2 linked regions of the Xenopus tropicalis genome follow. The protein of the gene in region 2 interacts with the protein of the main gene of each other region in a pairwise test. Links are inferred from orthologs where the notes say so. Each region holds a gene or a part of one and is shown on either strand. Other genes may lie near its edges.

Region 1 (15,885 bases), about 76 Mb from region 2:
TTTGGAGAGTAATTAGATATAGTTGTGATGTTTGTGTTTCTCACTTCTGAAGAGCTGCTTGTTGTGATAACTAGATAAGGCTGGGAAAAACGAAGAGTGCCAGACAGGGAGCATGAGGGATGGGGGTTCGCGTCTCCTGAGAGATGCTGGAAGGAAATAGCAAATGGACTTGATCTGTATACTAAGCAAACATTGGGCAGTTTCGGTATAAAGTGCCAGGGCATATACTGTACTTTCATCCTATGAACTCAACGTGTTATTTGCCATTAATCAGTAGAACATGAGTGCCTTCATTAAGCATCCTTCTGTTTGTTCGGCAGCACCTCGTTACAAAACACATCAGAGAAAGGCATAAAGCAAATTTCATTTATTTTATTGTTCACCCATAATTTATTTACAAATACACATTATAACTTTTATATACATTACACATTTACATGGTAAAAAAGTACAAAACTATATATTTAAATGAATTTATATTTAACTTGCCATGTTTGAAAATATAAAATTGAAATCAGAAAAAAAAAATGTATTATGAAAACGCAAGAAACTTGAACTGATAAAACGTCGAAATACACAAATAAGTCTGAATTGGCATGATGGAAATGATTGGTATTTGTATCTAATAGGTGGGAAGGATCAACACGTTTGGAACCAAAGAATCTTTGGGATTTAACCATCCAGTATGTTAGAATAATGGAAACTAGGACATTTCCTGAAACACAGCCACTTCAACCTTTTTTTTTTTTTTAAATATATATCTATATATATATTTCTATATATATAGATATATATATATATTTGTATTTTTTTCATCTTTTTTGTTTTCACGTTATGCTGCAGCCTCTTTTGGTCAGTCAAGATTCCTTGTAAACAAAACCCGAAGGATGTATGTACAGAACTAAAGGAGAGAATCCAATAAATAAACATTTAGAAACTGACATGCAGGGTTCATGGAAAGAAAAGCGCCGAACCCCATTCGCGCTATCGTGATGCGCTATGCGCCACGGACGCTCTTGGCACAGCGCATTCCTCCGTTACTCAAGGGGTTCGCTGAGCAGAGTGGACAGTACCGTCAATCACCTCTAAGGAATGGACTTACAAGAAAAGCTGGACTTTACAAGCGAAGATATTTCACAATAAATAACACTGCTCTTCCTTTGACGAATATATTTCTTCAAAACAAGGTGTACAGTCAAAACAGACATTTTATGTATAAATTATAAAACATGACAGTATAAATAAATGTCTACCAGACTCAACTATATGTATACTTTGTTTTTTTCTTTCCCAAAATAAATAAGCATACACCTATTTACAGTATGGACATGTGTTCTTGCCCAGAGGCTGTTCCAACAGTTTTGGGAGCTGTTACCATGAAGATATGACAAAACTGTAGTCCTGTTCCTCTTCCTCCTCTTCCTCCTCTGTATCTTCAACAATGGCTATATGGGGGAATATAGGGGAGCTGTTGTTTAAAAAAGGACAACAACAGCGCAGAAGCTCAGTGCATGTTTCTCAAAGCCCTCTGACCAGCCATAATACAGCGTTGCATTGTATGTGACTCGCAGGGGATGCTGTTTGGCATCACCTGATAAATAATACTTTTTTTTTTTGTTTGTTTTTACATAATCTATGAAGTCTTAACAGCGGAAAGTTCTGAAGAACCAATGGATCAGGCTGTTATTGCAGATTCCTGTAATCAGACAAAAAGCGCTCGTGTTCTAGGTGTACTGCTTGTGTCCTCAGAGTTAGTAGAGGCCTCTGTCCGGGGACAGAACCCAAAGCTACTACTGGTACTTGGATGGAGTTAGGTCACTCAAAGCGTTAATGAAGCAATCAGCGAAGCACATAGAAGCAAATTAGAAAAATAGAGGGAAAGATATTCTCAGGCAACCCCCTTGTAAATAGCCTTGGCTTTTCCTGCAAAAGTGCCGAAATCTTGCAGGCAGCTTAAGTCATGTCACTGGAAGGGTGTACATATACCGCCAAATAATGCTCACATTCCCTTAGAAACAACAAAAAAGTATTTTGCTTTAAAGAGTCTTCATTACTGAGGGGTTGCCTTTAGAAATCTTACTCTGTGTTGCAGTGATTCACTTACAGTTGCAAGATCCACTGTGTTTGACTTCCAAAAGAACCCCCGTGGAGCAGGCTGCCTGTTTCATTGCGCACTCGCTGGGGTAGGTAGTGTTATCGCTGGCGCACACTGTATCGTCTGACTTGCTCTCTGCTCCGCACACATCATCGCACAGCGCACAGCGACCTCTACCCACTCTACTGTCCCACAGGCATTTCTTTCCAGCGCTGCACTGAATATCTTCGCAAGACTTGGCCTCTGAAAGGGAGAAGAGCCAGGGCTTTTAACAAATAAACTTATCAGTCAGTGATCTCTCTTTAGTCTCACTGGGGCATGACAAAGCAAGAAATACAAATGCCAAAACAGCAACTAAAATCGTAAAACGCACAGACTTATAACATTTGGCAAGGGAGTTATATCTGGAAAGGAAACTCGCAATCCCTGGTTGTTCCCTGTAATTACTTAGATTTCATTTAGCTCTTGTACTAACACACACCGCAGATTAATGTATACATGGGTAATAGTGAATTAGCCCCTAGGAACAGGTGAATGTAGAAATGACTAGCATACATCACATCTACTAGCCTTTTAAGTAACACCAGGGATGAGTGTGTAAAGATCATATACAACTGGTTTATTGGTGAGTCGCCGTCATATTTTCAGATACAACAGGGATGAGAATATATAGTCTTCATGATAACAGATAAACCATGACCATGTTACATACAGAATAGGCAAGGGTAAAATAGCCTTCATAATAATAATAACCTACACCAATGGCAGGGAGCAAATCCTTACTAGAATGACAGATTTACCATAGTTAAGGATGCAATCAGATTTACTCAAACAGATTGGTAGGGCGCTAATATCTAGCATACTGACGAAAGCAAAATAGTAATGGCGCAGATATCCGAAGGAACATCTGATGATTGACAGTATCTGCCGTACCAAAGTATGCACCATAGGTGAGCAAATAACCTTCTACTGACACCCACCACCTGGGAGGGCGCATATAGCGTCAGAACACCACCTGACAGCTCACATATTTACAATATGAATATATACACCACAGACAATGTTACCATTAGCATATACAGGGTGCAGGTATCTGCCATACCCACACATGGACCACCAGCTAGAGTGAAAATGGGCTCCATAAAACACAGAGCAGATAAAAAGGTGCCAACAGCCACTATACTGCATTTATCTGCATTTTTATCTCCAGCAGATACAACCCAGATGCCAATAATGTTATACATCTCCAATGGACAGGAGAGAAACATGGATATTTTATATTGTTCGTCTTAAATGTACTGCAGGAGTGGCAGGCAAGGAAAACAGAAATCTAGAGACCACAGTAAAATCAGCCAGGTATGGATCAAAATCATTTCCTCTTGCAAAATAAAAAAAATGCCATAATTAAATGAATGTAAAACAGGTAAAACGGTTCTGCTGGGACCAAAGGCAGTGTCGCTGCGTGCTCTGCAGGCACAAGGCAGGTGTCGCTGCGATCCTCTCTCATTCCTTAGCTAGTGTGGGATGTAAGGCCAATGAGGGAGTGAAAGTGCACACACACACCAGGAACACTCCGGGAAACTTGCCATGTACCAGGCTCCAAATTGGCAGAAATCCTCTTGCACCAACCCTAATCACATGTTGCTTCTCTTGCCCCATACTGAGTGTCTTCTCCTCAAGGCACTTGGGAAAGAATGCTACTCAGAATGGATTTGTCGCTGGGTAAATCAGACACCACACTTACTTATGCATTTCCCCTCGTAGGCTAATCCAATGGATCTGCCCAGCAGGCAGGTAGCCTTCCTCAGGTGGCAGGCACTGGCATAGGTTATTCCATCATTCCCACACAGATATTGGTCAGGGGAGACAGGCTCCGGGCAAATCCGATTACATGTCACACAGTAGGCGTTATTGGTCTGATCCACCACACAAGTGGAGCTCCCTGGGCACAGCACGTCCCTGCAAGTTTCTGAAAGAGAAAGAAGCGCAAGGGCGCACATCGATCAGTATAAAGGCGCAATGAATGACAGATGGACTTACAGCACTACTGGGGCACAGCTAAGCGTAAGGTCATAATAAATTGCTCTTATTTACTCCATATACTATGTACTTTATGGGACCCGTATTATATCACATAAAGTTTTGCAACTCCCAAGCCAATGCGCACCAAAAAAGCTTCTCAGGCTACTAAAAGCCACCCAATGAGAGCTTTCTTTTCCATGCTGCCCACCCATGAGGTTCAGGTAACATCACAGCAATCTAATGTGGCTGTCCCTCCCAGCCCACAGATCCCTAACTCCCCCCACTTGTTTAACCTACTTTTGCATTTTCCTTGGTACTGCACATCCAGCTCCGGGACCCCTTTACATTTGGCTTTGAGCAAAGCGCACTCATCCTTATAGGTTTTGCCATCTATTCCGCACACGGAACCTTTCCAAGTAATGTTGGAACAATCCGGAGCGCAGACACACCTCGGCTTGTTCTTCTTGTTCATTTTACATTTCTTCCCAGGGCCACAGTCTACGTTCTCACATGTTTCTGTAAGTGCAACAGGTTTAATTAGCCAGTGGGCAAAGTACTCAAGAAATAGTATTACTAGGAATGTGATAAATAGCCCCATATCTCAGCAGCATGTCTAGACTTTCAGGGACTAATGTGCCTGTGCCATTACATAAAGATCATCTGGGGTGTTATGGTATCTAATATAGATGATAAATAGATAGATGATAGATAGATATGCCAGATTCATACAAGCTCCTGACACTGGGAACTTACTAGTACAAGAAAAGTATTTCCCCTCTGTGCCTAATAGCTAAAACAGCATGCAGTATCTATGGAGAGAGAACAAAAGTTCCTCCAGAAAGCGAACTCAAAATTGAGTGCAGATGTCCCCTTCACTTTAATAAATCCCTCCGTGAAAAATAACACATAATAAGCAAGTGTAGGTGGCCAGAATCTGCTAGCACAGTATCCTAAAGTCTGAGCTGGGTGAGATTATTCTTGCACACACACATACACACATACACACATATGGACTGTGTGGCTGCGTCCCCCTATACAAAAATAATGCCAAAAGCAGTTCAAAATATGTCAAGTATGCGGGTATATAAATACATATGGCAGCTTCATGGTTTCATGGAAGCACAGGTCGCATCAAGCATACACAGGGATGGTTAAATCATGTATTCCTACAACGTGTCAGTAGAGACTGTATGTTAAAGTACTAAAAAAAAAAAAAACTTCTCTCGACTTCTTTGCTTACAGAGATGTAGGAATTTAACCCTTTCATTTTCAAAACGAGGAGATGGTAGTAAAAATTGTCAAGTAAAGTACCTTTGCAGGGGACGCAGTGAGGGGCCCCTCCATGAAATATCATCCATTTGAAGAGGGTGCTGTTGGGTACATCCTCTTCAGTCCATGAGGTACCCAGCCTGCCAGTCTTGCAGCATTCCTCCTTGCTCAGCTCAGTCCTGTAGAGAACCTGACATCGGCCGTTCTTCGACTGCTGCAGCCAGCAATTCCCAGCTGTAAGAGACAGCGGCCCAGCCATATCAGTGTCACTTAGCAGTGACCCAGACACAACACGTGTGCTCTGCGCTCACTTCCACTAGACTGTTTACTTTTATTCGGCCTCTTTCATAACCTGCACTAGTAACAGCAGTCTCTCCCCAGCCAAACCGCTCACACTTGCACGGTTAACCCCTTCAGGGCTTCCACTCTATAGATATCCACCCAGGCTACACAAAGGGTTAATTGGCCGCGCTGTTGAACAGCCTCCCATCCAGATGTTGAGATAACGAGCCCATAAAACCCCTGCTTTATTGAAATATTACAGTATCAAGTGCGTCAGTTGTCAAGCCTGCGATCCAACCTCATGTTGCAATCCAGGCACATTCAGAACATCTACATGCAACACTAATCCATTTCGAAACGTGTTTTCTCCCCAATCCCACGCTATGTTACCCCTTTTTTAAAGTTAAGAGAAAGGATAAGCTGAACAGCAATAGTTCTAAACAACTCACTACAACTAGTTCCATTTGGAATTGCGCCAACTAACACTGCAAGTAGGCAGCAATTAGCACAAGGCAGATTGCGTCAGTTGGAAGAAATTCTGCGCACCGCTGGGTCCGACTGCGCCTCTGCTACGTATAGTAGGGGGCTGGCAGCCAATGACTTGCCACCACAACTTCTGTCCCACCAGCTGGAGTACAACTAGAGTAGTACGAAACAAATACCGACATCCTCGCAAGTCCCTAATAAGTCACTAGATTCGTTACATAACTGTAACCACTGATAGTAAAGTAGCACTCTCTGCCGATACATTTATATACACATTAATAAATCTGGAAGCCAAGTTGACTGTAGCCCTTAAAATCCAGAACTACCATCTTGATATTGCAGATATGTAAAAGTGAAGTCTGATCTAAGTCACCAGCCTAACTTGCCTCTCCTACTGTCTGCCCTAATACCAAAAAAAATGAAAGAAAATCCAAAAAGAGTGATCAAGTCCTTCAGGTTCTTACCTTGGACTGCGCGATGTTCCATGAAATGGCACAGAGAGACAGTCAGGAGGAAAATCATGCCCGGCTGGATCCTTTCATTTAACATCCTCAGTGCAGAGAGTGGAGAAGCAGCAGAGTCTCAAGTGGAGAGATGGGATAATGGACCAGGCACAACTCCGGACTCTGCTTATGATCGCTCTATTGAATGAACAGCAGCCTCTAATGCAGTCTCTCTTTAAATCTATAAGGGGGTCTTAGCTGTCTGCGGTGGGCGGTCTCCTAATGTGTGTGTGTGTTTGGGGGTGGGGTAAAAAGAAAAATTCAGAGTGAATCAGGTGACATTTTCCACCTTCTGGAAACCTTTTCCAATGAACAGTGGGTAGGTAGATCCTAGAGAGAATGTAGCAAGGAGTGTTTGCTGAGTCCCAAGCAGAGAGAGAGTGAAACTTGTCCAGCAGCTGGTGGGGAAATGGAGCAGCAGTGTGGCTACTTGTGCAGCAGCAGAGGCAGCAGCAGGGAGTGGGGCATGTGAGTGGGAAGCGCTGCTATAGGAGTGGGGCATGTGAGTGGGAAGCGCTGCTATAGGAGTGGGGCATGTGAGTGGGAAGCGCTGCTATAGGAGTGGGGCATGTGAGTGGGAAGCGCTGCTATAGGAGTGGGGCATGTGAGTGGGAAGCGCTGCTATAGGAGTGGGGCATGTGAGTGGGAAGCGCTGCTATAGGAGTGGGGCATGTGAGTGGGAAGCGCTGCTATAGGTGCTGCTGGGTGCGCACAGGACAATGACGTGACCTCTCCCAGACTCAGCCTTGTTGGGCAGGACCTACCCACTCTGGCTCCCCCTGGGCACCTTCTGAGCAAAGACCGGGCAACATCGGGGCGCACTGTCTAAAGAGGGGGGGTTAGGACTTGCCCCCCACCCACCTCCCACTCAAACTCTTAAAGTGCCTTTTAAAATATAACTCCCAGAACCTGAAACAGTAGTTAAGTGTCTGCTCCCACATCCAGCTCTCTGGGAGTCTTCAGGGACAAATACAAGTTTAATACCTAAATTTGCCCCCCCCCAAGTGACAGTCTTTTCAAGTGGCAGTGTCTGGAGTATCAGACAGGAATGGGACGACGTAGGCGGTCTCCTTTCATAGCCCCAGAGATTGCCCCATCGATAATGAACTTCTATAGGGCCAGTTTATTAAGCGCAGTCTGGCATCCTCCGCTGCAAGTTGGCGGCCACTCATTTCTAACATTTTTGGCACAGCTGAATGAAACTGAGTAGGCGATATTTCCTTTTATACAGAACCATTACTTCACGGAAAATGGTATTGTTGATTCAAAAGCTGCCTCTTTTCTCTCTCTCCCTCTCTCTGTCCCTCTACATTTTCTATTCTTTTTGCCTCCAGAGCCCAGAGGACAACAGACAGAGAACTATGCAGACTGCATTCCTGGATACTGGCAGGTCGCTTGGATTTGTATTGCCACAGACTTTGACTGCAAATAACTCGGCGATAACAGATTTTTTTCCAGCAACTGCAGGAGATAGTACTAATCTTTTAATAAAAGATCCCATTACAATGGGATCTGTCTGGGAGGACTATAATAGATCCAGAAATACAGGCGTGCTAATATTAGCAGACAGTTGTTTGGGCCCCTCAGGCCGGCCCAGGCTGCTCATTAGGCTGCTCTGTGGGGCGAGTACAAAGGGGCTGGGGCACCACCTGCAGGCACACATTAAAGCGCACTGGTAAATGATTGACCCTGCAACATCCCCCTATTGTCGCCCTTTCTACATCTGGGGCATTTTGCTCACTTCACAAAGCCTTTTTCCCCCTTCCCTTTAACTTTCTCCACCCCTACTATTTCCAGGATAAATACAAGGTTGTTTAGTGCCCTCTAATGGCAGACGACATCTTTAATTAATAGCACAGCATCCTTATGGTGAGAGCCAAATGAGGCAATTCCTAACTTAATTCATAGTTCCTTTTGCTCCTACGTCCTCATTTCAAAATCATTCTGTTTGTTTCTGGTTTGTGTAATCTCCATTAATCCGGGGCTGGAGAATCCAAACAGTGAGAGAGAAGAGCCGGTGAGTCAGTGCGTTGGGCAATGATCAGGGCTAGGGAGCTGGGCGGCTGGGGCTTTATCGCCCATTTGCGGTTAGGAAGGAACAGGGGTCACAGCTCTGGAACGTTTCACACACTGCCTTCCTGTTCTCCTTCCATTCACAAGTAACGGGCTAAGCCTGTGCTGACTTATGGCCAAAAAGCGCTGCCCTTTCACCCATGTTCCTCAAATCTGTCTCCTATGAAATGAGAATTTGTGGCGTGTGCTCGGCCCCAGCGGACAGTAGCCCGGTGGCACATCATAAAACTCGCACACACACATCATTAAGGGGTCGGCAGACGGCATTGCCTCTCAGCCCATGGGAGAGGGGCCTCTGCGGGTCAGGGTTGAGGTCATTGGCAGGGCAGTGCGGGGAGAGGAATGGCTTCTTATCACTATCCCTTTGGTATAAATCCTGCTAGGGCTGGCTAACTGCGGGCTGGCTAACTAACAACTGCGGGCTGGCTAACTAACTGCCGGCTGGCTAACTGCGGGCTGGCTAACTTACTGCGGGCTGGCTAACTAACTGTGGGCTAGCTAACTAACTGCTGGCTATCTGCGGGCTGCTAACTTACTGCGGGCTGGCTAACTAACTGTGGGCTAGCTAACTACCTGCGGGCTGGCTAGCTAACGGTGGGCTGGCTAACTAACTGTAGGCTGGCTAACTAACTGCGGGCAGGCTAACTAACTGCGGGCTGACTAACTGTGGGCTAGCTAACTAACTCCGGACTGGCTAACTAACTGTGGGCTGGCTAACTAACTGTGAACTGCGGGCTAACTAACTGCGGGCTGGCTAACTAACTGTGGGCTGGCTAACTAACTGTGGGCTGGCTAACTAACTCCAGACTGGCTAACTAATTGCGGGCTGGCTAACTAACTGTGGGTGGGCTAACTAACTGTGGGCAGGCTAACTAACTGTGGGCAGGCTAACTAACTGCGGGCTGGCTAACTAACTGTGGGTGGGCTAACTAACTGCGGGCTGGCTAACTAACTGCGGGCTGGCTAACTAACTGTGGGCGGGCTAACTAACTGTGGGCAGGCTAACTAACTGCGGGCTGGCTAACTAACTGTGGGCAGGCTAACTAAATGGGGGCTGGCTAACTAACTGCGGGCTGGCTAACTAACTGCGGGCTGGCTAACTAACTGCGGGCTGGCTAAATGCGGACTGGCTAACTAAATGCGGGCTGGCTAACTAACTGCGGGCTGGCTAACTAACTGCGGGCTGGCTAACTAACTGCGGGCTGGCTAACTAACTGCGGGCTGGCTAACTAACTGCGGGCTGGCTAGCTGCTTATCCTGGGACCTCTCTCCCTATAAAAGCCTAGGTGCCTGTGTGGGGTTTGTAAGGGGGGAATGCGCCTTGGTGCTGCTGAGAGGTTCCCTATGTGTGGGCAGGTTGCTAGGGGCCAGAGTACTAGTAACATGTTGCTAACAGCACTAGTGCCACTAACATTCCAGCCGCCGCCGCAAGGTCAGTGCAATAACACGGGTGTCTGGCCCCGCCGCACCTGCTCTGTAACATCGCAAAGCAAATGTGTTCATCTGCAGCGATTAGTCACATCAGTCGCAAGGCTAAACCTGGCTTGTCATCGCAAAGCAACGTGACTTCATTCATCTCTTCTCATTCACTATCAGGGGATCCTGCCTCCTCCTCCTCCTCCACCCCGGAATGTGTGTACAGAGCAAAGGAACACAGGGCAGACACCTTTATTTGCTTCCCATCATTGACACAATCGCTGTTTGCCTGTTCCAAAAGCGCTGCTCCCGTGTGGCTACAATGGTTTGTCTGATCCAGGTACAGCCATCTGAATTCTATTGGCTAAGGGAGCCAAACCTAAAGGGGATGTAAACCCAAACAGAACATTCAGCCTAATGAAAGAACTTGTAATTCTAAACAACTTTCCAATACACATCCAGACATCAAATGATTTTAAAATGGGTAGTTCACCTTTAAGTTAACTTTTGGTATTTTATAGAATGGTCAGGTTTCAGTTGTTTTAATAGTTTTTAAATTATTTGCTTCTCTCTTTTGACTCTTTCCAACTTTCCAAAAGGGGTCACTGACCCCCTCAGCCAAAATACTGTTGCTCTTTGAGGCTACACTTTCATTATTGTTACTTTTTGTATTACTCATCTTTCTATTCAGACCCACTCCTATTCATTTTCCAGTTTCTCATTCAAACCACTGATTGGTTGCTAGGGTCATTTGGAACCTAGAAACCATATAGCCGCTAAATTCAAGACTGGAGAGTTGCTGAATATAAAGCTAAATCATTCAAAAACCACAAATAACATACAAAAAGTTAATACAAAGGTGAAAAACCATTTTAAATGAAGTATTACTAACTGTAGACACTGATATTAGGAGACTATTTGCAATTGGTCTTCTTTTTATTACTTGTGGTTTTTCAGTTATTTGTTCAGCAGTTCTACAGTTTGGCATTTCAGCAGTTATCTGGTTTCCAGGGTCTTATTTACCCTAGCAACCAAGCAGTGGTTTGAGTGAAAGACTGGAATCTGAATAGGAGACTGATTAAGCAGGAAGATAAGCAATAAACATGAATAACAATAAAACTGAAGCCTCACAGAGAAATAGTAATTTGGCTGGGGGGGGGGGCAGTGACTCCTATTTAAAAGCTTTTTCATACGGAAGAAAAAGGCAAACGAAAACAATAGGAAATAATGAATATTAAATGAAAAGTTTCTGGTAATAGGACATTCTATAGCTAAAAGTTAATGTAAAGGTGAACCACCCCTTATCTGTAAATGTAACTAAAAGCAGTGTTTATCTGCCCCTGTCTGCACTCCTTGTTCCGACTGTTACAACAATGTTGCATAATTTAGCTTCTGTGCAGACAAGACTGGTCAACTGCCTTCTGTTACCCTGTTTCACAAGTCAGAACCGCCAGTGCTGAGAATAGCTAGGCACAGACAGATACTATTTACAATGGCATTTGCCACTACACATAGCTTTAAAATCACTGAACATTTTTAATGAATGAATATTTGGAAGTTGTTTAGAAGGACTTTCTCTATTATTACGCATTAAGTATTGAAGCCTGAGCAGAAACCACAGAAATCATATTTAGTTGTTGATATCCCACCATGTGCTTTGGGAATATATTTCCCTGTCTCAGCTCCTCCACTGATCTATGTGGCTATTTATTAATTATACTAAATACCAATATTGTGTATATGGATGAGGAGCCATCCGCCACCCTGTTTACCTTCTAAAATGCAAGCCCTGACAGCCATAATGTTTCCTCTTCCAATATAAGAAAAACTTTCAGCTAATTTTACACTTACACTCTAACCTTGAAAGTCCTCCAAAGGGCTGACCTAGATACAGTGGAAAGATAATAACAAGCAACTCCAAGGCACCTAAACTAAATATAGCCTCCATTTACATACGATTCATCAATGACATTTCACTGACAGTAAAGTGAATGCTGCCTCTTAGTCTGTCCCTTGTCTGCACTGAAGCTGCTCTACTCCCATCATGCTCTACTCCCATCCTGCTCTACTCCCATCATGCTCTACTCCCATCCTGCTCTACTCCCATCATGCTCTACTCCCATCCTGCTCTACTCCCATCCTGCTCTACTCCCATCCTGCTCTACTCCCATCATACTCTACTCCCATCATGCTCTACTCCCATCATGCTCTACTCACAGATTGCAGCACCTAATATTTTGTTTCCAATTCATTATCAGGGGTGTGTAGCACCCTCTTACTTTGCTTTTTACAAACATTTCTAAATAAATAATATTTCTTAAAAAAAAATTGTCATTTCTTAAATTGTGTTGTTCAGGAAGATGGTCATACACTAAAGGATCCTCTTATTTGTTCAGGCTGCCATTTTCAGGCTGATATTTTCTCGATATGCCCACCCTGAAGTGAATAATATCAGATTGGTTTGAGTGTTCATCCCTCAGGCCAAACCAGGGTCAGACTGAGTTGGCCAGGCACTGGGAAAAAACCCGGTGGGCCCTAGTGGGCCGTGCTGGCCCAGACCTGATCCCCGTGGTGCTCCCCCTCCTGAAGATCTGCCTCCCCCATCATGCTTAAGATAAGACTAAAGCAGTTGCGCTCGGGAGAGGGAGTTGGGTGGCAGCGCAGGCCCCTTAGGGGGCGTGGGGGCCAGATGACAGGGCCCCTTAGGGGGGGGGGTTTGGGGTAGGGATGCACCGAATCCAGGTTTTCGGGTTCGGCCGAACCCCCGAATCCACTGTCAGGGATTTGGCTGAATACCAAACCGAATCTGAAGGGATGAAAATTTCCACTTCTGTGTTAACATGACAAAAAGTCATGTGAGTTTTTGGATTTGGTTTGGCCAGGACTATGGATTTGGCCGAATCCGAATCCAGCTGAAGAAAGCCGAATCGTGGGCGAATACCAAACCAAATCCTGGATTCAGTGCATGACTTGTGTGGGGGCCAAGGCGGTAGCCCCTTGGGGGGGGTGTGGGGCCACTGCGATGGTTGTCCCTGCAACCCCCAGTCAGACCCAGATGCTCGACATCTGGATGATTTTTGGTCAGATATCAGTCTGACAGACTCATCTGTCACTGGGCCCCATACACAGGCCGATAAGATGCCGACTCAGTACATCCCAGCTTTTATTGGCCCGTGTTTGGCCCCTTTTATTAAAGCGGACATTGCAATCCATTAGAAATGTGACACATTAAGAGGCATTTACTTTCCCAGGTACAGTAGGCAAAGTCCAATTTTCCGATGCAAATCACCATGTTTTTTTCTTACCCGCAGTGCAGCATTTTTACCCAGACTTCCAGAATAATAGTGGCCATGTGGGATTGCCAGGTTTGGGCAGCCTATGGGCTGCACCAATTGCAATTTAATTTAAATGGAATATATTTATTAGAGGTGCCCCTGAATTTGTTATTGATCTGGTAATTAATTAAATTTTTACTTTCCCATAATCTAGTTACCACAACCCAAAAATGAATATATATTATATATATATATATTACTAATTCCTCCCATTATTCTACGTTCATATGGACCTGCAATAGAGTTATTTGTTGTGATTCACAAGACGGAGTGGGATGTGCTATCTGCCAGATGTGTCAAACTGCTACATGTTAGAGTATGAAAGCAAAGTTCTGATTGGTTGCTATAGATAATTGCCCTTGTTAGTAGTACCCTTGTTAGTAAATAAATCCCCTTATTCACAAATAATAATATCTGTATCTCTATACGCAGCTAATTCTATACATAGTAATAATGGTGAGCTAGTTATCAAATATCATTACAATTCCATGTAGACTGTATGCTTTTTGGGGCAGTGTCCTCCTGTGTGTCTTACCACATGGTACTTAATCTCTGCATAGTAATACTTGTGTGTGTGTAATTTTCAAATTGTAAAGCGCTGCATATCCAAGTAGCACTTTATAAATAAACGTGTACATACACAAATACATAAAATATATAGGGGGTTATGTAATAATCCATAGAAACCAATCAGCAGGTAGCATTTACTGGTCACCTTTTTAAGCAAACACCTTATTGGTTGCTGTGGGTTACTGCACCTGGGCAAACTTAGTGCCTTTTATTACATATGGGGGTTAGAGTTACATAGTAATAAGTGTCATATGTTATTAGATAATTGATAGTGAGAGGTCTCTGTTTACAGAGCGTATAGTGGTTGGGCAACCCACAGACAGAAATGGAAGGATAGTGAGAGCAGCTGGGGGGAATCACCCATAAAGGCCAAGGTTACATCAGGTGATTTGCTAGCAGTCTAAGATTAAGGATTTAGTTTTAGGGCAGTGGTGCATCTTCGTTACCACGGGCGACTAATCTCCCCGCAATGCCATCCCACTGGCAACAATGTAAATGGCTGGTGGGATGGCATACGCGTCGCTACAATTTCCCGAAGTCGCCCAACGTTGCCTTGAGAGGAAACTTCAGGCTACTTTGGGAAATCGTAGCAACGCGTATGCCATCCCACCGGCCATTTACATTGTTGCCGGTGGGATGGCATTGCGGGGAGATTAGTCACCGGTGGTAATGAAGGTTTGTTGCGGGCAACTAATCTCCTGTGTGACACTGCCCTTAAGGGTGAAGACACATGGAGCTTTAGAAGCAGCTACTTGTAGTGGCTACTAAAATAGACAATGCTGATCATTTACTGATAATTGTCTCTACATGTGTTTTAGTTGAGCCGATTCTCAGTATTGTTTATGGCAGCGTATTATCTGGGGTTTAGTAGCTGTGAAAATGTACAAAGCCTGGAGGCGCCCCGAGACAAAGGTGAAATGGAAAAGAAGTTTGATAACATAGGAGACTGAGAAAAACTAAGGGAAGGTAAGAGTACCAGAATCAGGGCTGGATCTAGGGGTAGGCACCTTCAAAGGGTGCAGAACAAAACAAAATAAATCTGTGTACGGAGCCAATCCTTATTCAGAATTCATGTGGTGCTGTTTGGGACTTCTGCTACTCACAGAAGGATAGATACATAGATATATGACACTCACTTGGCTAAGCAATGTATAGTTTATTTGAGATCCCAGCAAATGTTTCAGGTTTGCCCTCTTGTTCAAGTGCTTTTGTTTCTCCAACCACTTTTTGTTCCTCCAGAAAACATTTCTTTATGATCTCTTAACATTACTATTAATTAGGGCTGGAACTAGGGGTAGGCAGGCTAGGCAACTTCCTAGGGTTGCTATTGGGGGGCATACAGTTTAGTGAGTAAATTTTGAAGCCAACCAAGTAGAAGTAAGCAAAAAGGCAAAGATCAAGTGACATAATGGGGGATTAAGAGGGAGGATCTGGCAGCTCTGGTGGCATTGGCAATGGGTGGGGTTGCTGGGGAAGAGAGCACTGGATGGCAGTTGTAACAGGGGAGGTGTTATGGGTATTATATGTTGGGAAGGCAGGTCAAGTAGCATTACCTTGGGTGAGTATACTATGTGGTCTGGCTCTGCTATCAATTTTTACATCTTCCATTAGAAATAGCCAAGTTGTTTCAGCTGCCAATCTCTACTAAATTAACTGAATATTTAGGTTCTCATTCTTAACTTGTTTCTGATCATTGCAATCCACAAGGCTTGTCTGGAAAGGACGGTAACTCAGCCTTTTGGAACCACAAACCTGTTTTAGTTCATGAGCCCTAATTAAACAGAACCCTTAGTGGATCAGTTCAGACTAATTCACCTACTGGGAAAACTATTAG
Region 2 (15,864 bases):
AATAAGGATACAAAAGAGCACAGATCAACTTCAGACAAGGGAAAGTTAAAGAGAACAGGTCTCAGATATAGGAGGTGATCACATATACAACAACATTTCCCAAGTAATTTAAAACTAATTTTGAATGAGGCAGTTTGTGGGCTGGCAGAGAAAGGCCTGAAACGATCTATGCCAAACCCAATTTATTTTGATAGAAGCCACCTGATGCAGCTGTTAGAGGCGTTTATCTGTGTGTCATGCCGTTTCCATTTTTATGTAAACAGGAAGCACAACAGGTGGTTTCAAGAGTTTTTGTACCGGTAGTTTGCTGCTTTGCCAAATCTTGTGCATATATACTCTTAAAAGAGTAGACATCACAGATTTTGGCATGAGATTACCATTAAAGGGGTCCATTTGTAATTAGATTTTAATTGCCATAAAGACAATGGCATGTTAGGAGACTTTGTCTGGGTATTTTACTTTTTTCTTTACCTCTCCAATTTGAAATTTAAACTTACCTGGTGGCTAGGGCCCCGCTTCCCTAGCAACCAAGCATAAGTCTGAAGGACAGACAATAAGAATATGAAAAACACTGCACAAGAAAGAAATATAATTGAGAAAGAAATCTAGTTTTACAACAAATATGGGTTTGTATGCCTGCCCAAGACCCTATAGTGTTTACATTTCTAGCTAGAATGAAGCAGAACCGATAGGCAAACACCAACAAAAGCAAACTGTCCCAGAATTATACTAAGAGAAACTTTCCATTTCTAGAATTTGCTTTTGTCTGAATTCTGTAATGCAACTTCCTGTGTAACTCAGAAGAAGCTTAAATGGCTAAAAAATACCGAAAAGTAAATTGTATGAGTTCAGCATACTTGCACAAGAATTATAGGCAATTTAATATGTTTTATTAAATCAGAATAACATAAAAACAAAACATAACACACCTGTGCGTCATCAACATCCACTTTTATGAAAACAACATCCGGATTTTCTACACTTAGTTTCTGGGAAAAGAGAACAGAATAAGTATTTTGGACATTTAAACACTATTTAACAAACACTACTGCTTCCTTATCTAGATAAAATTACAAATACCTGAAAAATTCATTTAGTTGAAAGTTGAAATCAAATAAATATGCAGACTATAAATTAAACTGTCAATATGAAATCTTGCCCAACAAAACTAGGCACATAGATCTAAATTACAATTTAAAGGGTAGGGTAATAAGCAAGGGGGTGCCAATATGTTAAGCATTCCCTGGCGTATTGAATTATAAAACTTTACTCCAAACCAGAGCTTCGGTTTGGAAAAAATTGCACCAGTCCTAGAATCTTTTATCTAATGCTGCCATTTTTTCAGCATTTTCCAAGGCTTTCTTGGCTTGGGCATGAACACAAACCAAGAGTCTAAGTGAAAACTTACAGGTGTGTTACCATTATGGTAGAATTTTTTTAAAAAATGGGCTGTCGGTTATTCAGTGCATTGAGGCACAATCTACAACACCATACGACCAAAATTAATATTTTATTACATGTAAACTCAATGTACAAAACAAAAAAAAGATAATTTTCCATTACTTAAAGAAGTTCACTTAAGTCTAAACTTTCCCACAGGATAACGTGTGTGCAAACTCCAAGCACACAATACTGGATAAATGCAATGGCTATGCAGAAGCTTTCATAACCTACCTCAAAGACAGGGGAAATCATTTTGCAGGGACCACACCATGTTGCTGTGAAATCAACGACTACAAGTTTATCCCCAGCTTCTTTAAGTATATTTTGGAACTCATCCTAAAAATGAAAAAGTAAATTATGACTACAATGATTTTAAAGTTGATTCTGCCAGGAAATATGCTTCCCCTGCAAGGACAAAAAGTTACTATAAAATATCTCACCCCCAACAACATACAAAACCATTCAATTGTTTCAACACTCAAATGCATCCCCTTAATTTGTAGGACCCATGCCCAACCAATTGTCTTGTCTTCCCACTCCGAACGCTATTTTTGTGCACACCACTGGTTACAAGACAGAAACTTTAATGGAGTAAACATCCCCACTCAGACCTGCACTCATCCCAAAACTGATAAAGCCACATATAAGAGTATATAAGCGCTGAATGCAGGTGGAATGCCAGAGCAGTGGAGAGGCAAACGTTTTTAGTTTATATGTTTTAGTTTTTAGTTTTAAATATTTCTTTTAAATCACTGCCCTAATGATAAGGGTGATTTTAAAAGGTCTCCTTTAAATATGGGATATGTGTAATACATATATTTTTTTAAATGTCAATAAGTAATGGGGTATCTGTGTGTAAATATTTAACAAAGTTTATAGAGCACATTTACAAACGCAGTCCAATGTACAAAGAAAAAAACAAAAACAAAAAAATTATATATATATATATATATATATATATATATATATATAGTGTGTTCCTTTACGGTTCAAAATAGGAATACAAATATATGTCCATTATGATAAACTGTGCACAAATTGCAACACACATTCCGCGGAAGCGATGGCATCCCTTCCAATAATATTAGCATCTGACTTACTTGGCTAAAGGAGGTGTTAACCTTTAAGGGCTCTGGCACACAGGGAGATTAGTCGCCCGCAACAAATCTCCCTGTTCGCTGGGCGACTAATCTCCCCGAACTACCATCCCACCGGCGAAAATGTAAGTCGCCGGTGGGATGGCACACGCGGCGGTGCGATTTCGGCAAATTGCCGAAAGTGCCCCGCGAGGCAACTTCGGCGATTTGCCGAAATCACCTGCGCAGCGTGTGCCATCCCACCGGCAATTCGGGGGGATTAGTCGCCCGCGAACAGGGAGATTTGTCGCGGGCGACTAATCTCCCCGTGTGCCAGAGCCCTAAATGAACTTTTAATATGATGTAGACTGTGATATTCTGAGAATTTACAATTAAAGTCTTTTTTTGTTCAGTTATCTGGTTGCTAGGGTTCATATTAACCTTGCAAACAGGCAGTGAATTGAATAAGAGACTAGAAAATGAATAGGAAAGGGCCTGAATATAAAGATAATAAAATGAGACATACAGAGTGAAAAAAAAAAAGTGCCAGTGCATTTTACTCCTCTAAATATAGGGCTTTACTAAAAAATAGTAGTATTTCAGGTTGATTTATAAAAAAAAATAATTCTCCCCGTCCCGTCCATCTGTTCCACTCCCTGCTACCTCCTTTTCCTAGTAGCAGATGGGGTGTAGGCAGAACTCTGCACATTGCACTGAAGGATAGGAACCAGCAGCTAGGCTGACCTGATACCCACTTGCAGGCTTAATGGTACTTACAAGGTAAAGCCAGCTGGCCATACAATGCAGACATTTTGACAGTCAGTTTAGCCAATGCTGTACAGGTATGGGACCGGTTATCCAGAATGTTCGGGACCTGGGGTTTTCCCATTTAAGGGTCTTTCCATAATTTGGACCTCCATAACACAAGCCTGCTAAATATCATTCAAATATTGAATAAACCCAATAGGATTGTTTTGCCTCCAATAAGGATTAATTATATCTTAGTTGGGATCAAGTACAAGGTACAGTTTTATTATTACAGAGAAAAAGGAAATAATTTTTAAAAATTAAAATTATTTGCTTATAATGAAGTCTATGGGAGATGGTCTTTCTGTAATTCAGAACTTTCTGGATAACTGGTTTCCGGATAAGGGATCCCATACCTGTACTATACTACCTGACCATCTGGACACAAGTTCGCTGGCAGGAGGACGTTTCAATAGATAGATGACTGAACATTTTTGAAAGTATCATCTTCACCATGTCAGCAGGTGCACAGTACATCAGTAAATTAGGAGGTAAAGTGCTGCCGCAGCTCCTACATTTGTTGCAGCAAAAAATCAGTCAGAAGGTACAGAACTGTAAGAAACTTTATGGCCTTTATATAGAATGCTATACATTCTTCTAAGTTCCCAGCCCTTGGAATGCAGGTGAAAGGTAACAAGAAGAGATCGCTATGCCACCATCCAGTAAGTACACCAAGGCAAGGATCTAAATGGCAGTATACAGGAAATCAATATCAGGTTTCATACTAAAAAAAACTATGACTAGAAAAAATCTCAAATTACACTGGCAGAGAGCACAAGGCTGTGTTTAATATTTAATAAAGCAGGCAACAAACATGGAAGACCTAAAAGATCTGTAATAATTAATCCAGACACTTGCCCAACTGTATCGATTCATTACATGCTTTCATGTTCAGCAGTTCCATGCAAATTTAATTCACCCCCAGCCAGTGTACCTTGCTGTCCTGTGTGGATAGAATCCTCCCCTCCAGACAGGTAAAAAAACACAACCAGCATTTCACTGTTGGTGCAGTTCTGTTCAGGAATTGCTTAGTATTACTGCGCAGAACTACGAATGACAGAACTGTTCTTTGCACTCAGGCAACTCAGAAAATATGTTATGACAAGAACAAGTTTTTGCCATTGTATATCTAAAAATAGGACTGAATTTTGTAAAGTATCTTTTTATGCTACTAAATCTTTTAGTACATGTATAGAATCTATTATCCAGAACGTTTGGATTTCCGGATCAGAACTTTATCCTTAATTTGGATCACTATACTTTAAGGGGAGGAATAAAATAAAAGTCGCAAACGGAAAAAAACTGCTCATAAATAAAAATAATTTGCATTTTGCGATGTTATATATTTCATTTTTGATTGCATTGTGAATTTTAATTGCAAAATTGCAAATGTTTAAGATGGCGTAACTAAGACATAACACATTATATTACATATACTGCACACTGGCGTAAGCTAAAACAATTCACAATCTCTATCCTCTGTTGCATGTGCGGCAAAGGGTAATCAAAAGAAATATTGTATTTGTGCAAAGGCAAAATTGTTTGTAATAGGAATATTTGTTTGTGAACATTTATGCCATTAGCAACCTATATTACATTCCCCAATAAGTCTAAAAATCATTTAAACAGTAGATAAACCCAGGGAGTCGGAGGCAATTTTGGGTACCTGGAGTCGGAAAAAAATGAACCGACTCCGACTAAATTTAAATGGGAATAAAAAAATTAACAAAGCAAGTTTAAATGTCCGAATTCACAAACAGTCATAATAAATTACTTCTCTGCTATAAGAATAAAGCCCAATGCACGCCGTGCATAAACGAACCCGTTGAGTGACCATGAAGCATGCTTTTCATTGACTGTTTGCTTCACTAAATGGGACGTAACGCACAGTTAAGGTGCAGCAGCTCCACTGCGTCGTGTTCCTCTGTTACAGGGAACAAAATGCCCACTGTGAACCTAGCCTAACTCTCACTGATAACTAATTAAGTAAAGAAAATTTGCAGGACTAGAAATACTTGTATACGTGCTTTAATTGGGCAATACAGTCGAGTGTTGGCATCCTAGCCAGTAGGTTCTGTGGTTAAATGACATGTATGTCTCCTTCCTTTCCTTCAATGAATGTATAAAATACATTAGCATATTAAAAACAGAGGAGTCGGAAGTATCAGAAACTGAGGAGTCGGAGAATTTATCTACCGACTCCACAGCCCTGGATAAAGCCAACCCAATAGGATTTTTTTTCTTCTTCTACCAATATGGATTCCTGTAGCTTTGTCACGATCAAGTACAAGATACTGTTATTATTACAGAGAAAAAAATAAATTGTTTGAAAAATTAGAATTATCTGCAAAATGCACTTTCATTAATATAAAGCTTTCTGGATAACAGGTGTGTATGAATTTCCAAAAATAAATGGTGGATGCACCAGCCGCTCATTCTGAATGAGGTTTTGCAATATGACCACACACATGAATGGGCAAGCTTGCTGATCTAGCTGTTCATCACAGGGGAGCTCACAGTCTAAGGTGCCTATCGTATTTACACACACTCGGGTTAATTTCATTAGATGCTAATTAACCTGACTGTATGTATTTGGAGTGTGGGAGGAAACTGGAGTACCCAGAGGAAACCCAAGAAGGCACCTACAATTGACACTGCCTACTACATGCGGCAGTATATTGAATAAACTAGCTGTGCTGCTAGCAATTTATTTTATTGGTCTGAATTTTACTTGGATAATCCACTAATGGAATCAAATGGAAAGGTTTTTTTGTTTTGTTTACTCTTACAATCAAACTGATATTTTCAGCTTTTTTCACATGTCTTGCATATTTAGGATAAAAAAAAAAACTTTAATTTTGTAGGCAATTATAAATAATATATGGTGCTGGTTTCACTTTGATCTAAAAATGAATACTATCTGTAAAAATGGCCCCTTTACAGGAGCTCCCTATAGATCCTCTCAGGTACCTGTCCATGTTTCAAATGAGGGGTGGGCGTGTCCTAAGCACAATAGGAAGGGGATAGCCATTCTTCACAGCCCCGCTGTCACACAAGCAGAGACAGGCATCAGTAATGGATAAGGTCAGATTACCGGGCGACTGGCTCAGTGCCACTCCCCCCTCAGTGTTTGGGAAAAGAAAACAGAAGAAAGTGGACCAGGTGGGAAGGACCAGTGGTGGGGAAAAAATGAGCCATAACATTACTTTTAAAAGCACACTCCTTCTATAATTTAGATGAGCACAATTCATTGGCATAAATATTGTTTTCGCACAATATGTCCTCTTTAATATGTTTCTGATGGAGAAAAAAAACAGCTTGGAACGAGAACCACAACTGGTCAAAAAAGTGCAAAAAAACAGGTGCTTTATAAGAAGTACTGCTGTATAATAAGCTAAACAAAGCACCTGAGTATTTAAAGACTGCTGCTAAATTTTTAGAATAAGACTATGATCTGTGCTAGGAACAAGTAAGTATGACTGAGAAAATATAAAGTGGTCTTATTAGTCAAATGTATCTGAAGGAGGCATTCCTCACACAATATCTTACACACTGCTGCCATCAGATGAAGCTTCTGCATCTGGGATCTAGTGATGCTAACAGAGACAACGCCCTTGGTGCTTGACAAACACCTTGTAAGAAAATACCCATGAGGGAAAATAAATGAAAGTGATTATTACTTTGACTGTTTAATAAACATGCAAACAATGTTAGTAAATTTATGAATGGATGTGTCCAGGAAACCCGACACAAAGCAGGGGCTACCAATTGCCCCTCTGGTAACCCGAATGGAAATCATCTGGTTCTGCACAGTGCTCTCATGGACCAGATGATGATCATTCAGAAATATTCACTGCTGTATTTCTGAGTGATTATCCATTTAAAAGAACAGAGTGCAATTCACTTAAATGGATTTGCTTAAATGCCAATTTGGAGTGTTTCTCTAATGGAGAATCACCCTGTACGAGTGCCCTAAAAGTACAAAAGCACTCAGTACCCAAAGAGAAAGCTAGGGAGAAATAAACAATTACACAAATATTTATTTAAAATAAATAGCTATATATATATATATATATATATATATATAGCTATCTCATCTGGCAAAAGCACCCTCATCACAAAACCCATGATAAATATATGAAGCCTATGTAGTGTAATAATTACAATCAAACTTGTACCTTTACTGGAGCTTCCCATAAATCTTCCCCAGTTACAAATCAGCGATGACTGTACAGCTGCCCAGTAAGTCAAAACTGCCCATGCCAATATATCCACTAGATACCCAATCCCCTCCCATTTATTAGCAAACCACACCCTTTCATGGCAGCTCTCTGACAACTACATCAAACTGCAGTGGCGGTGCGCAAGATAAAGGCTGGCTGGCATCCTTTAAGGCAAAGGGCTGCCATTGCTCAACAGCCTGGGAAAGTGCCCAAGAGATGCTGAAAGGCTTGGCAGCATAAACAATTCTTAAATCAGTTTTTATTAAAACAGTGCACAAAAGTTTTAAATGAGTTTTTCTTCTATTTTTGGTGTATAATACCACGGCAAATACTTATTACTTTTTCACTATATGTCATCTTTAATAGACAGTTGCCCATTAAAGCTAAATTTTAGTATGTTATAGAATTACCTATTCTAAGCAAATTTTCAATCGTCTTCATTATTTATTTGTTATAGTTTTTTTTTTTTTTATTATTATTATTTGCAACCTTCTTCCAGCTCTTTGCAGTTTTCAAATGGGGGTCACTGACCCCAGCAGCCAAAAAAACCCCGATTGCTCTGTGAGGTGACAGTTTTATCGTTACTCTTTGTAACTTTCTTTTCTATTCAGGCCCTCTCCTATTCATACTTCAGTCACTTATCCACACCACTCCCTGGTTGCTAAGGTAACTTGGACCCTAGCAACCAAATAACTGCTGAAAATTCAAACTGGAAAGCTCCTGAACTGAAATATCTAAAAAAAACTACAAAAAAAAAATAGAAGAAGACCAATCGTAAATTGTTTCAGAATATTACTCTCTATATCATACTAAAAGTTAACCCAAAGGTGAACAAGCGCTTTAAGCGAGTCTTCTGGTTTCCAATAACCATGAATGAGGCTCAGGAATGTTAGCATTATTTGAGAAGCAAATCTGTCAAGCAGTTCAACTTAACTGTGGAAAATGATCCCAACAAATTAACATCTATGAAAATTCTATGGAAAAACTGAAGTGTGTTCTTAAAATCATTCTTTCTTGCATCCATTCTTATCTTAATAGAGGTGAAATTCTAATCCAACTAGTTCACCCAACCTGAGCCAGTCACATCTGAAAGTACCCTTTTTATCTCCATGAGGCCTAAACCAGAAAATATTAAACAGGATGAATTTTGAGCAACATAACCTACTCAGTTTCAATTATACAACATTTTCTTTTATTTCTTTTAGTAGGGTATGTTGAGAATGCATGGGAGTATGCAATTTTTAAGTCTTCTTCTAGATAGTGTGCTACTCGGTAGCAATTAAACCAAATGCAGGTTAAAAGTGAACCCTTGAAGATTTAGATATTGGATTACAAACTGGCCTAACAGTGTTGATGTTGATTCTGCTTGAATCAACATCAAAATGCAATCTCATCCTGTCCTGGGTCAGCTGATTAACCTCTTACATACTGACTGGCATTATCACCCAAGCTGTATTTCTTGTTAGGAAGGTCAGCGCTGGTGTACTCATTCAAAACACTTGTTCTGAGGACCCTGATCTGGAGCAGTGTTAATATTAGTCTTTTAGAAAGAAGTCAAATTAATGTGTGTCGGAAAGCCTTAACTAGTTAACAGAAAATGCTGCAATAGTGCAAAGTTTGCCCCAGGTAGAATACCCATAGCAACCAGTCAGCAGATAGCATGCATAGGTCTACTGCAGTTTGAATAATGAAAGGAAACATTTAATAGCTTGGGGAGGGTCAGAAGCCCTAAAGCAAACTTTGAACCTACTTTTGCTTTGGTTAGTATGTTCTTTGTATTTAGCCACCCAAAGTGCAAAAAAAACCATTTTGAAATGGGTAATATACGTAGACTACTAGTTACCTAGCTATTTTACATTGGGTCAGTAATTAATTTAGGATGAGGGTTCCTTTAAGTGCTGTAGCAGCCACTCTTCCCCTACCTACCACAACTTTAATAATCCGAATATAAACGAATAGGAACATCTGAATGAATGTTATTTTTGGGTTAGTAGAATTCAAACGGAATGTGTTGCTCATGCTGTTTGCATTTGCCAGCCATGCTGAATAAGGATGCACTAGCTCCTCTGTCCCCGTTTCCCCTCATGCTAAAGGAAAATAAGAAGCCTGTACTTTCCAAGCATCTTTCTCAGTCAAGCAACTTACAACGTTCATGATACAATTAATTGCTTACCAAACTTTCAACGTGTCGAACCATTTTGGACAGTGGCGACGGCCGACTTCTTCAAACTCAGCGTGACACAGCAAAGCACTAACCTCAGGAGATAAGTCTAGCAATTACCGGGAGGGGAGGGGCCCGCGAATGGGCGGGGCTAGTGTATAGCGTATACAACAATATCTTTCTATTCTAGCAAAGTAAAAAAAGGCGCGGTCTAGAGCGCAATGGGCGGGTCACTAAGCTATCCGAGCCAATAAAGAGAGGCCAGCGTTGTAAAGGCGTGGTCAAAATCAGCGCCTTCACGTGAGGACTACGCACAACAAGGGAGTCTGGGCAATGGGTGCGGCTAGGGACCACTGGCCGCATTATGGCGTCAGGGGAAGATGGCGGTAGGATATTCCGAGAAGAGGGAGTGGACTGTAGGAAATGCGCCAAGTTCAGTAAGGCTAGAACAGCCTCGTGTGAACTGGGACAAGTGGGAGGAGGCGCGTATAACGGTTCCTAGCGAAGGGGCGAGGTTAATAGCAGAAAATTACTCGTGACTTGGTTCCCAAGGCGCCTTGTGTAGCTTAGTGCCCGCTTTTGTTGGCGGATTTAGAACGTGGCTGCTGCTGCTCGCCTCGGTGTTTTATAAGCAATAAATGAATTGGTACTATAAGATTATTCGGGTTTAGCTATGGTATGAAGTTAACTAACTGAGGTCAAAAGTAATAGCAACGTGAGTTAAAATGAAATACAGGAGTTATTTATTCCTAGAAAATGTCATGTGGAGAGTCAGAGTTCAGTGTGGGTCCATTCATGTCGGTAGTATAAATGTTGTTGCCAGTGGCTAATTTTTGGGTACATATATTTTTATTTTCTTGGGAACCTAAATAGAAATTAGCTGTATCTATATTTATAGGGGGTATCTATACACTTTCTTTTTATAACTGTCCCTGTTTAAAAGGAGCAGATAAAAGGTTATAGGGTTGCATTTTTTATATTTGCTGATGTTATTAATAGCCAAGAAACATAAAAGCAAGCAAGTAATGGTATAGGAACCCTTATCCAGAATGCTCAGGGCCCAGGGTATTCCGGATAAGGGGTCTTTCCTTAACTTGGATCTCCATACCTTAAGTCTAAAAAATCAATAAAATATTAATTAAACCCAATAGGGTTGTTTTGCATCCAGTAAGGATTATTTATATCTTAGTAGGGATCAAGCACAAGATACTGTTTTATTACTACAGAGAAAAAGGAAATGAGTTTCACAATTCTGAATTATTTGATTAAAATGGAATCTATGGGGGACAGGCTTAATGTAATTCAGAGAACAGATTTCCAGATAAGGGATCCTATACCTGTTCATGTGAAAAGGTTGCTACCTTACAGCAACGCATGACACAGAAGATGCAGTATCAAACAAACATGTTTACCTGCATTGGGCAAATTCACACCGAGGCAGTGACCAATAGCAACAAGCTGTTGATTACGTTTGTTATACCAAATGAAGGAAGAGCTGTGAAAATAAGAATTTGACTGTTTGCCTTGGGGGCAAAGTCGCCTAGCACTGGTAAATAAACCCAAATAAAGGTCGCTGCTACAGCAGATAGGTTGCAAGACACATTCAAATGTCAAAATCATAGTAGAGCAGCACAAGCATGCAAAAAGTTTTGGGGTTGCAAAATAACGTCTTTGATTGGTTATTGGTAGTCCCTCTGTATACTGGCAGCCTATTGGAGGCTGTATTTGGCACTACACTTTTATTTTGTTTGTTTTTGCAAGCCAGGAATATACAGTATAATAAGCCCAGTGGCCTAAAAGTATCTGCTTTTAGGTCATTTGTAGAACATCCAATGAGTCGGTGAGTCTTTGATTGGAGATCATTGCGTTAGATAGATAAAAGATTGCTATTGTGCAAAAAAAAAAAATTTTTTTTTTTTTTTTTATGATCTGCAAACAGTTTATGGTAAACTAGATTTTTCTATTGAATGCAAATAAGCGCAGTTTTGTGGTAGACCTCCCCTTTCATATTTATGTTGTTTTGTCTAGGTAAAAAGCTAACCTGGTTAGTGCGCATTAGCTTGGATAATGGTTTAAATATATAGCCAATGAATTTGGGAGCTAGCTTACTAACACAATCTTGTGACACTACTGTTTTCTATGATCCACTTGAATTTGGGTTGAAATATTATATAAACTATAGTATAATATATTTCTAATACATGTGGAGAGACTATTGTGTTTTATAATAACTGTCAGGTTATACATCTGGACATAAGATATAATTTTAATGTGATGTATTTCCTATCTAGTTATTCAGCAGTTGTTAGCATATCGTTTTTGTTTGCTGACTTAATTGCAGTTTTTCTTTTCATTGGTTTTTGTTCTTGGGCTTTGATCTAAGTTATACAGTTACTGATAGAATTCTACAGATCCCTCAGCAATTTCTTTCATTATTTTTAGTAAGGTATTGAATTTAGTTTTGAACTAAGCAATGTTTGATTTGTGTAGTCTTAAGGTGGCCATACACGCACCGATATTATCGTACGAAACCTCGTTTCGTACGATAATCGGTGCGTGTATGGCATGTCAGCGAGCCGACCGATATCGCAGGAAGCTGCTGATATCGGTCGACTCGCCGATCGGCCAGGTTAGAAAATTTTGATCGGGCGCCATAGAAGGCGCCTGACCAAAATTCTCCCTTCAGAGCTGAATCGGCAGAAGGAGGTAGAAATCCTATTGTTTCTACCTCCTTACCTGCCGATTCAGCCCTGAATGGTGTGTGGCGGATCTGACGATGTTTCGTGCGACCGACGGTCGTACGAAACATCGTGAGATCGCCACGTGTATGGCCAGCTTTAAACTTATGCTGTAACCCACTTTTGTTTTCATCCTTATATCTTTTAAGTAGCCATGCAATTTGTATTGCCTCTCTTTTTTTTTTTTTTTTAAGGTTCCTACCAGTGTTTTAAGCTGAGCTTCTATGGGGCAGTTATTTTGTGCAATACACCACATGGGAACACAGGTGTTTTTATCTGTGTTCATCATTAATGTGTGTTTCCATGGAAACAATCCCCATAGAGGAGACTTGGGTCATTTAACTCATATTGTTCCTTTGCAGACGAACACACAAATTTACACTGCACAGGTGAGCAGTTTCTGTAGTGTGTGTGTTAGAGAAAAAGGAAAGTCCTATATGTATGGTATGCGATTAGCCTCTATGCTGTAAAAATAAATTTAATGTGGGATTCCCCCCCCCCCCAAAAAAAAACGAATTAAAAATAGAAATTTGTTTATGTGGGACATCAGAAAATGGCCTATCCTGTTTCATGCCTATTGGAGCGCGTACTCATAGCCTCTGAGTAAGTTCCTCAGTAGACACATACTCATAGGCTATGAACTGGCCAACATAGTGCATTAGCTGTTGAATGTCTGAATCAGGCATTATGTACTATGAATATTGGTCTGGTAAGGTGGCAGACAACATACATGTACAAATAACATTATAAAGCTTTGTTTTGTACAATATTGACACATGTATGGACAGCTTTATGGTTCTGAAGGTCTTCTACAAAGTAATAGTTCGGAGGCCAGGGAGGATCTTGTTTATGTGAATTCTGTGTTGTAATAATATTGTAAAGTAATTGCTTACATTTTGGCCTGCTTGGTGGAAAATCTAGACAGGCCTCTTAACATTTGGAAGCCTCACAATGTCACCCCAAATGGTAATAAATCATTGTACTTTGCTGAACTGGTATTGTGTAATAATATTTAGAATTAGGATGACTCCTCATTAACTTGGCTAAGGATGTGTCTAGTCATCTCCATGGCAGCCAAGCCCCTCTAGACATGTTACATGGTTACATAGGTTTGAAAAAAGACCAGAGTTCCCATCAAGTTCAACCCTTCCAAGTGAACCCAGCACACACACAGATATATACTGATCTATATATACACTCACATACACAAACCATATTTACCAATATCAATACTAACTGTAGATTTTAGTATCGCAATAGCCTTGGATATTATGCTTGTTCAAGAACTCATCCAAGCCCCTCTTAAAGGACAAGGCAACTCAAAATATAATTTTTTGCCTAATAAAAGAAACCAAAATTTTAAGCAGCTTTGCAAAATACATTTATTACAAGTTTCTAATGGTTTTTGAATTATTTGTATTTATAATTGCTATTAGAAGCAGTGCTTGCCTGTCCTTTTCTATTCTCTGCCCTGGTGGTTCAGACTGTTGAAACATTGTAACACAAGGCAGCAGACTGACAGACCTGTATTGGTGGAGAAGCAAGACCTTTGCAACATTGTTTAAAATGTAACAACCAGGAGTTCAGCAAATGCTGCTTTCAATAGCAATTACATTTACAAATAACGTTTAAAGCACTATAAATTTTTAATTATTTCATATTGGAAAGTTTCTTAGAATTATGTTTTCTTTCATTATGCAAAACATTATTTTTGGTGTTGACATGCCCTTTAACCCTTTAAGTGCCAGCCGAATTCGTCATTTCGGTTCCCCCCAGTGCCAGACGTTTTTTAAGCATTTTGTACTCATTCACTTTAACAATGTTTTTTGGTAGGAAAACCTCCACGAAACTAGGGAAATTATATATCGTTTTTTTCGTCACTAATTGGGCTTCGACATACATACCAAATTTTATAACTTTTCTGGAGATATGATGTGTATTTTGGGTGAAATATGTAAAAAAAAAATAAAATTATGAAAAATTTCTGTATATTTTGAGGTTTTTTTCCATAGAAAAGTTAATTTTACTCACTTTTTTTTATTGTTTGTAAAAGCCCTGATACTCCCAATTCCAACGATACCAAATATGTGGTGGTACCCCACAGTTCCTGTCCAGAAGTAACCCCCAAACTAAAGCAATACTTAGTACAATATCACACCAGAACAAAGCAGAAAAGCGCTTGTAACAGTTAATGCAGCATAACTTATATGTAAATCTAAAATATCCCCTCATGTTTGGTATCTTTAGAAACTACAGACCTTCAGGTTTCTAGGTGCAATGTAGTTTTCACTCAAAAGCCAAATACCTTTTGTCAGTGCATTGTGAAATTTGGAACTTTTTATGACTTTTTTTTTTTTTTCTAAAACGTAAACTTGGACGCATGATCAAATGTGGATTTGACAAAAAAAAATCTCATAAAAATTTTCTAACAAAGGCATATTTGAAAGACAAACTTCTCCTGAATAAAATGATGCCCCATATGTATGGGTGCACATAAAGACATGGGCACCAAACACTCCAAAGCAGGGGCAATGCACAAGGGCAATTACAGCTAAAAATGTGGGGGCTGCGCTCTATGTGCACTTCCTGCAGTTTTTCAGTGTTAACCCCCACTACCTGTGAAATAACCCCCACAAACTATATATTTATGAAAAGTGCACACCTTCAGCTATTCAGAGACACCACTCTTCTCTTTCTACATGGAAAATTGTGGCCGCAGTCCCTTGCAGAAGTAAGCGCTTTTGTCAGAAATCAAGGAAAAACCAGATAAAAAACCTAGATTTCTCCCCAAAATCTCCATGGCAACTACCAAAAACTTACTAAACATCGATCTGCAAGTTCCCCTGAATAAAACGATACCCCATATGTATGGGTGCACATAAAGACGTGGCCACCAAATGCCCCAAAACAGGGGCAATGCATAAGGGCAATTTCTGTTGAAATTTTGGGGGCTGCGCTCTATGTGCACTACCTGCAGTTTTTCATTGATAACCCCCCCTACCTGTGAGATAACCCCCACAATCTATATATTTCCGAAAAGTGCACACCTTCAGCTATTCAGAGACACCACTCTTCTCTTTCTACATGGAAAATTGTGGCCGCAGTCCCTTGCAGAAGTTAGCGCTTTGGTCAGAAATCAAGGAAAAACTAGATACAAACCTAGATTTCTCCCCAAAATCTCCATGGCAACTACCAAAAACTTACTAACCATCAATCTGCAAGTTCCCCTGAATAAAACGATACCCCATATGTATGGGTGCACATAAAGACGTGGCCACCAAATGCCCCAAAACAGGGGCAATGCATAAGGGCAATTTCAGTTGAAATTTTGGAGGCTGCGCTCTAGGTGCACTACCTGCAGTTTTTCAGTGATAACCCCCCCTACCTGTGAGATAACCCCCACAATCTATATATTT

The links.
Region 1: the proteins of uncharacterized protein LOC100170420 (region 2) and fst interact in binary tests that used the Homo sapiens proteins (3 or more experiments, as listed by UniProt). The link is inferred for Xenopus tropicalis from reciprocal best matches to the Homo sapiens genes TXN and FST.

Annotation. Positions count from the first base shown.
Region 1 is NC_030677.2:192,424,127-192,440,011, forward strand, and holds fst (follistatin), read right to left. Parts: upstream 6,794-15,885; 5' UTR 6,704-6,793; coding exon 6,619-6,703; intron 5,621-6,618; coding exon 5,429-5,620; intron 4,634-5,428; coding exon 4,415-4,633; intron 4,065-4,414; coding exon 3,840-4,064; intron 2,339-3,839; coding exon 2,097-2,338; 3' UTR 1,697-2,096; coding exon of another isoform or gene 1,695-1,696; 3' UTR 1,469-1,694; coding exon of another isoform or gene 1,372-1,468; 3' UTR 358-1,371; downstream 1-357. UniProt on the Homo sapiens protein: Multifunctional regulatory protein whose primary function is to antagonize members of the transforming growth factor beta (TGF-beta) superfamily including activin, myostatin, GDF11 or bone morphogenetic proteins (BMPs).
Region 2 is NC_030677.2:116,006,676-116,022,539, reverse strand, and holds the start of uncharacterized protein LOC100170420, read right to left. Parts: upstream 9,785-15,864; 5' UTR 9,747-9,784; coding exon 9,723-9,746; intron 1,780-9,722; coding exon 1,675-1,779; intron 990-1,674; coding exon 930-989; intron 1-929. UniProt on the Homo sapiens protein: Participates in various redox reactions through the reversible oxidation of its active center dithiol to a disulfide and catalyzes dithiol-disulfide exchange reactions.